Mus musculus: one gene and its partner. The protein of the gene in region 1 interacts with the protein of each later gene in a biochemical or structural test. Links are inferred from orthologs where the notes say so. Each region holds a gene or a part of one and is shown in the gene's direction. Other genes may lie near its edges.

Region 1 (4,159 bases):
TAAGGCATTTTATCTCTAGATTGACCAGGGCAGGTTTCTCACCGCTAGATTATGTCTCCTTAAGTCTGATGCTAATTGGCTGAAGATGGAGGAAAGCAGACAAAGTTTCTCTGTGTAGCCTGGCTGTCCTGGAACTCACTCTGTAGATCAGGCTAGCCTAGAACTCACAAATATCCATCTACCTCTGCCTCCTGAGTGCTGGGATTAAAGGCATGCATCACCACTGCCTGGCAAGAGTCAAGTTTTTACAAGAACATTGATATAGCTAAGCACCTTCCCTTGAAAGAGAAAAAGCTAAAAGAAGGAATTTTGTTTTTCTAGATTTATTCATCCTGTTTATAAAACAAAATTTGACAAGGAAAAACTAAACAAAAATACAAGAAAAAAAAAACCACTAAAACAGATCAGGACAAAAAAAACAAAACAAAACAAAAACCCCAGACTTTTAAAAAAACATATTTTTAAAGATTTATTATTATATGTAAGTGCACTGTAGCTATCTTCAGACACACCAGCAGAGGGAGTCAGATTTTATTACAGAGGGTTGTAAGCCATGTGGTTGCTGGGATTTGAACTCAGGCCTTTGGAAGAGCAGTCAGTGCTCTTAACTGCTGAGCCATCTCTCTAACCCTTTCAAAATATTTTTTAAAACGTATTTATATATTAAATATGTGTACAGGTGTTTTGCCTCACGCCTGTGCGAATACAGGTGCAGTGCCTGAAGAGGCCAGAAGGCCGCAATGGATCTCCTGGAACTGGAGTTACAGATGTCTGTGAGCCATCTTGTGAATGCTGGGAGCAGAACCTTGGTCCTCTACCAGAGCAGCAAGTACTTTTAATTGCTTAGCCACGTCTCCGGCCCACAATCACACCTTTCAAATACAAGAATCAGTGTGGTTCTAGCATTTTTAAAAAACAAAGTCTTACTATGTAGCCCAGGCTGGCCTGGAACTCACAGAGATCCTCCTGCCTCGGCCTTCTGAGTGCTGGGATTAAAGGCATTTGCTGCTACCCGCAGCTGTAGTTCTGATCTTTGAAATAATAAAAATAACCTGAAATTGAGATCCATACGTGTTTTGTTTTGTTTGTTTGTTTGTTTTTAACAAATGTTCCTTTCAGCTCTCTTTCTTGATAAAAACAAAAAGTGAAACCAGAGACTTTTACAGAGTTACTCGGGTTTTTTTCCTCCTAACGTCTTACTTTTTTAACTTAGCAGTTATATTCCGGACAGTTGTGGCTCTTTTTTTACAGTGAAGGACTTGGAGGCTGCAGGAGGGAAGCGCGGTGAGGGTGGGGTGGGGATAGGCCTCTTAAGGCGGAACTCACAGGCTGCACATCTGTTTTCAATGTTTTGTAAGAGCCAAGAGCCTTCAAGTAAAAACTTTCAGTAAATGACACGAAGAGGAGCTGGGTCCAGGAAGTCACGCACAGAAGAGCCACGGAAATCCCCAGCCAGGGTGGCCACCAAGGGTGAGGAGGAAGTGCGTCTGGTTTTCACCCTGGAGTTCCCCGGAGCCCTGGAGGAAAGCACCGCAGGTCTGAGCAGCCCTGAGCCGGGCAGGGTGGGGGCAGTGGCTAAGGCCTAGCTGGGGACGATTTAAAGGTATCGCGCCACCCAGCCACACCCCACAGGCCAGGCGAGGGTGCCACCCCCGGAGATCAGAGGTCATTGCTGGCGTTCAGAGCCTAGGAAGTGGGCTGCGGTGAGTACGCGCGCGCGTGGGGATCCAGCCAGGGTCCCCGTAGTGGCTCGAGGATCACCGGGGTGACTAGATCCGAAGGAGAACCTGCAAAACCCGTTTCTATGCATCGGTGGTCCTGCGGGAGGGCGACCTACAGGTTGGCCACGCTGACCCTGGCTGCCCCCCCTCCCCCCACCCCCTCCCCGCTTGCGGGAGCTCGACTTTCTGAGTCTTTTCCGGTCTCTGACTTTCTGAGTGAGGCGTAGGTGCCGAGAAGTTGCATTTTAATTAGGCTGCTGCGGGAGGCATCTGGGAGACTTGACACAGTGAGAACTCTGGCGTCTAAGGATGAGCTTGTGGAAAGCTCATGGTTGTTTTCTTGGTGGCCAGCTCAGGAAAACACTACAGCTCTTTCTTTTTTTTTGGGGGGGGGGGGGTGTTTCGAGACAGGGTTTCTCTGTGTAGCTCTGGCTGTCCTGGAACTCATTCTGTAGACCAGGCTGGCCTCGAACTTAGAAATCTGCCTACCTCTGCCTTCCAAGTGCTTGGATTAAAGGAGTGATGGGTGTGTCAGAGACCATTTCACACTATAGCTGACTGGGGCTTTGAACTTCGGAAAAATCCTCCTGCCTTAACCCCTTCAGTGCTGGGATTATAGGCCTGAGTCACTGTACTCAATTTCTCAGCAGTGCTCTTAATCTAGCCGGTAAATCTCTGGAGTCGTTTCTGTCTGCCCCAAGCCAGGTTCTGATCATCCGTTGTAAAAAGCAGGTGCCATTACTATCCCCTTTTCGCACCTAGGAAACTGAGGCACGAGTGGCTTTTCTTAGTCTCACTATGGAGCACTGGTTGGGCTGGAACTGGATAAGTAAACAGGCTGGCTTTGAACTCAAGGAAACACTGACGTCTACCCACCTCTGCCTCCAGGGTAATGGGATTAGGGGCGTGTCTGGCCACTTGGTGGTTTTCTTGCCCAACATTACACTGTTGGTGGAAAAGGGACTGACTCTCTTGAAATCCTGTGATGTGAGACTCCAGAGCATGGGAGTAAATTGCCACGAGGTCAAGTTAGCAGTAATAGGGGGAAATTAACAAATGAAAGTGCCATGAACATGCTGGGCACAGCCAGCTGTGCTAAGAAATTCTTCCATGCCAGTGTTTGCTGGGGTTAGTAGTGCAGGTCTGTAATCTTAGCACTTGGGAGGTGGAGGCTGAAGGATCAGGTGTCCAAGGTCAGTCTGGGCTGTGTGTCTCACACAACAGCAGCTAGGCACTGTAGCTGCAGCTACTACAGAGGTTAAAGCTTATTTCCTATTCTGTAGGAGATATGGTCCAAGGTGGAGGGAGGAAGATGGCACAGCTAATTGCTCCAGAGGGTGGGGGCACACAATAGTCTCTGGGTCTACTGGACATGGTAGTGTAAGCAGAGAAGAAACTGGGGTGCCAAGCTCATCTATAAGGAACCACTGGAAAGAAAGAGGGCTCCTACACACTGATGTGGACTAGGGCAGGGATCAGAACAGGCCTAAGAGGAAGCAAATTTTATTTTATGAGTATGGAGAGGGAAAGGTGCTGGCACACGGACTGGCTGTCTGTGTGGAAATGTGGTTCATAAACAAATGTTCTGCCGGCTTGCCAGACTCAGGAGTGGCTGGAGTAGAGACTTCAGCATTACTGTATAGAGGGACAAGGACCCTGCGGGGTTTGAGGAAATATGAAGAAGAGTCCTTCAGAGTAGTAGGAGGGCCCATGAAGGGGCACTTGTTTCTCTGAGGTGGCCAATAGACCTGTGAACAGAGGGCAGGCAAAGGAAGGCAGGCTGAGGGCCTCACCTAGTGAGGAACGGAGCCAGCTGAATGAAACAGTGATCTTGGAAGGACTGAGGGTTATTTCTACAAATTCGGCTCAGGATGTAGAGAAAACAATTGCGTCTGTTGCTGGGGACACAAACTAGTCTAACCTCTAAGGAAATCAGTGGAACAGACCCTCGAAAGGTTGAAAACAGAACCACCATAGGACTGAGCTCTACTGCTCCTTGGCAGGCACATGGAGGAGTATACCTGAGTACCCTGTCACTGCACTGTTCCTGTGAGGACACACCATGGCCAATACAACTTATAAAGGAAAGCATTTAACTGAGGCTTGCTTACAGTTTCAGGGGGAAGTCCATGATCACCACGTGGCAACATGCAAGCGGGTGCTGGAGCAGTATGTCTTAGTTAGGGTTTTACTGCTGTGAACAGACACCATGACCAAGGCAACTCTTATAAGGTCAACGTTTAGTTGGGCTGGCTTACAAGTTCAGAGGTTCAGTCCATTATCATCCAGGAGGAACACACTGGCATCCAGGCAGACATGGTGCAGGAGGAGCAGAGAGTTCTAGATCTTCATCTGAAGGCTGCTAGTAGAATACTGGCTTCTGGACAGCTAGGATGAGGATCTTAAAGCCCACACCCACAGTGACACACTTACTCCAA
Region 2 (4,025 bases), on another chromosome or scaffold:
ATCCTCTGGAAGAACAAGCCCTCTTAACGGCTTACCCATGACTCCAGCCCAAGAAAACATAATCTTAGAATGTAGACTTGTAAAAAACTATTAAGAACTAGAGTATAGGGAAGGAAATGTCGGTGTTATATATATTACACTAATAATATAAGGGACAATTACAGATTGTAGTATCCTGGTGCGTGTAGGATCGTGGAACTATATCGCTCACAAATATGAGATATTTGCGCCAAACATCGTACTGAACAGTTATCTAAGTAGAAAGGTGTTTACAGTAAAAAGATGAAATAGTGCTGGATTTTGGTTGTTTGGTTTTGTTTGTTTTTGCCTTTGTTTTTCTTTTTGGATGGAAGACTTCCCAAACACAAGAAATGGTTTTATATTTCTATTTGTGAGTAGGCTTTGAGGAATAAAAGAAGAAACCGTTTCCTGGTAAGGGAGCAAGTCATATAAGCTAAACACCTCAATTTGTCACACTGACAGCGCTAGCCTCTCTACCTCACTTCTCACAAGTGGCAGCCACTGAGTAAAGACTGGAGTGGAAGCAACCAGATGGTTTACAGCTCAGGAAGTGGGGCACCAGGCTCCCCAGCAGTAGTCACCCCACACCCTATCACGTCCAGGGTTTGGAGTCTAAGGAAGACACTCGGGCCAAAGGAAAATCCAGCCGACCCACCTGACACCAGACTGGAGAACTCCGGAGGGATTTTCCCCGGAGGAAATCTTTTCCAAGCCTCAGCGATGTCCACCCGGCTTGTGGGGGGAGGGAGGCCTCTGAGACACGCCCATGATCTGCAGAGGGAGGAGCCGGCAGAGGGAGGAGCCCGCAGAGAGGGGAGCTTGCAGAGGGAGGAGCCGGCAGAGGGAGGAGCCCGCAAAGATGGGAGATTACAGAGGGAGGGGCCGGCGGAAGGAGGAGCCAGAGGACAGAAGAGCGGGCGGAGGAGGAGCCGGCGGAGGGAGGAGCTGGGGGAGGGCGGAGCCGACGGAGGGAGGAGCTGGCAGAAGGAGGAGCCGGCGGAGGGCGGAGCCGGCGGAGGGAGGAGCTGGCAGAGGGAGGAGCCGGCGGAGGGAGGAGCTGGCAGAGGGAGGAGCTCACAGAGAGAGGAGATTGCAGAGGGAGGAGCCGGCAGAGGGAGGAGACCGCGGAGGGAGGAGCCGGCGGAGGGAGGAGCCGGCGGAGGGAGGAGCCGGCGGAGGGAGGAGCCGGCGGAGGGAGAAGCCAGGGGTAGGAGGCAGGGGCTGAGGAGTTGGTGAAGGTAGGAGCCCGCCCAGGGAGGGCCGGCGGAGGGAGGAGCCCGCCGAGTCCAGGAGGAGGGAGGAGGACGGTCCACCCCGGCGCGGCCGCAGACCCGACGGGCTCCCTGGCACAGCTGACCGGGCCGGAACTGCAGCGGCCACGCGGGAATGGGCCGCCCCGGGACCTAGCGCCGCGGCCAGGGTCGGGCGGAGCCGCCGCGCAGCCGGAGCCATGAACGGGGACGCCATCTGCAGCGCGCTACCCCCCATCCCGTACCACAAGCTCGCCGACCTGCACTACCTCAGCCGGGGCGCCTCTGGCACGGTCTCGTCGGCACGACACGCAGACTGGCGCGTGCGGGTGGCAGTGAAGCACCTACACATCCACACGCCGCTGCTCGACAGGTAGGGCGCCGGCGCGGGGCCCCACACAGACGCGGGCTGGGTGGTCCACAGACCGGCCGCACTATGGCGATGCGCCGGCTCCGCCGCGGCGAGTCCTTAAGTCCTTGGGCTAACCTGATCCAAGGGAGAAACCATCCTGGACGTGCGTCAGACTTTGCAACTCGCCCTGCCTCTCCTCCCACCCGAGGTGTTCCCACTCTCCAAAAACCTGCAATCACGGCCACCTCTAAAACCCTGTTTATTGAACCCGACGTGTGTTGGTACAGTGCTTGTGGGCTTTGCTTTGTTTTAGCTAGCTGTTAGCGGTAAGAGCTGTGGAACTCTAAAAACTGCTCTTGGAAATGAAGTACGCAGTGACTGCAAAATACACACCGGAGTTTGAGCATTTAGCACTAAAAAGAAAAATAATAATACTATACCGGTGTTTTTATATTGATTAAACGTCAAAATATTTTTCTAGGGTTTTATGTGTGTTTCACTCCTGCTCCTGAGCCTGCATATTATGGCTTGGTTTGGTTTGATTTGGTTGGTTTTGTTTTCTTTGTGGTTTATTACGTGCCCTCATGAAGTTCAGTTATCAAATTCTACATTACCAGTTGTTATTCGAGCTCTTGCCTTGGAAGTCCCCAAAGGAAGTGTGCAATGTTTTTTGTAACAGTAAAATGAATCAAAAGCTATTAAATGGTCAAAATTTGTGAAGAATAAAAGTTTTGACCATCCCTTGCCCTGGTATTATTTGTGTCCAGCTCCCACATATTCAGAAGAAAGAAAAAAAAAAAGCGTTGGTTTCTGTTTCTAGGAAAACATTACAACTAAATACCATAGATCTGTGGCTGTATGTGTTAGTCAATGGATCTAGTCAGAACTCTTGTGTGTTTCACTTCCATCAGAAATTGAACTAGACCTTCATTCAGTTCTTAGTGCACTTGCTAACCTTGGTGGCTACAGGCCTCTTCTCCTGCTGGATCTAGTGTGAAAATACAGAGATCATAGCGGCCCTATTGGTCAGAGGCTGTTAACCCTGGGTATCAGGTCAGATACAGCATCAGATAACTAACTCTCTTGCTTCAGCCCTGGTAGAATGTTGGACTTTCATCTGCCTGGAGGCGCCCTCCCTCCCTCCAAGGGCTAGATCACAGTGTATGTGGAGCCAGTGCTGTGTGTGTGTGTGTGTGTGTGTGTGTGTGTGTGTGTGTGTGTTCACGTGTTCGAGCACGTGCGCCTAAGTAGTCAACTTTAAAGGGAGGTTGGTTAGTACCAAGCAAACGAATGGTCTATGGAAATGTAGCACTAATAGACCACTAGGTAGACTAAAGCTAGTTGCTTTCTCACTTTTGATTCTGCTTTTCAAAGCTTCGTTTGTGCCATTTGTAGGCCAAGGGAAAAAGATGGACAGGATGGTATTGCTTTCCCATATTCACCAACCACTTATGGTATAATTTCCTTGCATTGGATAGGGCATTGTCTTTATAAAACCAGCACAATCCCCTACCTTACTGCATTGCATTCTTTTATCTTGCTGTCTAAGATCTTACCATGAGCACAGGCCTAGGCTTATGCAACTGACTCTGAGGGTGTCTTACTTCCTCACCTGTTAAATATGAATAATAAACACTGTATGTATATTTGTTGTGCTCTGGTGTGGATAATGTACCCATTGTTCTTTAAGATTACCTGAAAAGAAAATAAGTCTAGGTGACGTTGCATATTATTTTAATAATTAGTGAGTCACTCTCCATTGCCAGTGAGTGGGACTTCCATAGCAGTCTTCCAGCCTTAATGGACTGATGACTCTGATTGGTTGTTCAAGTACCCTAGAGATGGAGAGCTGTTTCCTATTGACATTTTGAGTTAGGCCATTTTCATGATACAATTATTGAAGCTGTATTTTGCATTTTAAGTTTCTAAAAATCTTTTGCTTTTGTTTTCCCCCTCAATCTTGTTGAATTCTAACCTCACAAACTATCTGATTTGCTTTTCTCATCAAACAATAGAATAGAAAAGCACAGATGTTAGAGTACCAGGGCTACAATTTAAATCTGACTTAAACCCTGTCACTTTGTATTGTTGTCACCAAAGGATCATTCATTTTTTTCTGACTGTAGATGCTCCAATATGTAAACCAGAGAGAATGAAACAAGCTTTAGAGAGTTGATTCAAGGGTTGGACTGTATATAAAATGGCTGGCAGGGAGGAGGAATACATCATACCTTTCTATGTTTGTATGTACATGCATGTGTTTGTATTAGCATACACACATAGGAGATCCATGTGCTGCTGACCCACATGCATGATGGGTAGGCCAGAGGTCAACTTCAGGTATTGTTCCTCAGGACCATTAAGAGAGAGAGAGAGAGAGAGAGAGAGAGAGAGAGAGAGAG

The links. The genes of interacting proteins can lie anywhere in the genome.
Region 2: the proteins of Birc3 (region 1) and Ripk2 form a complex in vitro, tested with the Homo sapiens proteins (2 studies listed by BioGRID, with this or other methods). The link is inferred for Mus musculus from reciprocal best matches to the Homo sapiens genes BIRC3 and RIPK2.

Annotation. Positions count from the first base shown.
Region 1 is NC_000075.6:7,870,367-7,874,525, reverse strand, and holds the start of Birc3 (baculoviral IAP repeat-containing protein 3), read left to right. Parts: upstream 1-1,355; 5' UTR 1,356-1,391; coding exon of another isoform or gene 1,392-1,536; 5' UTR 1,537-1,703; exon of another isoform or gene 1,704-1,839; intron 1,840-4,159. UniProt on the Homo sapiens protein: Multi-functional protein which regulates not only caspases and apoptosis, but also modulates inflammatory signaling and immunity, mitogenic kinase signaling and cell proliferation, as well as cell invasion and metastasis.
Region 2 is NC_000070.6:16,160,843-16,164,867, reverse strand, and holds the start of Ripk2 (receptor-interacting serine/threonine-protein kinase 2), read left to right. Parts: upstream 1-1,224; 5' UTR 1,225-1,471; coding exon 1,472-1,644; intron 1,645-4,025.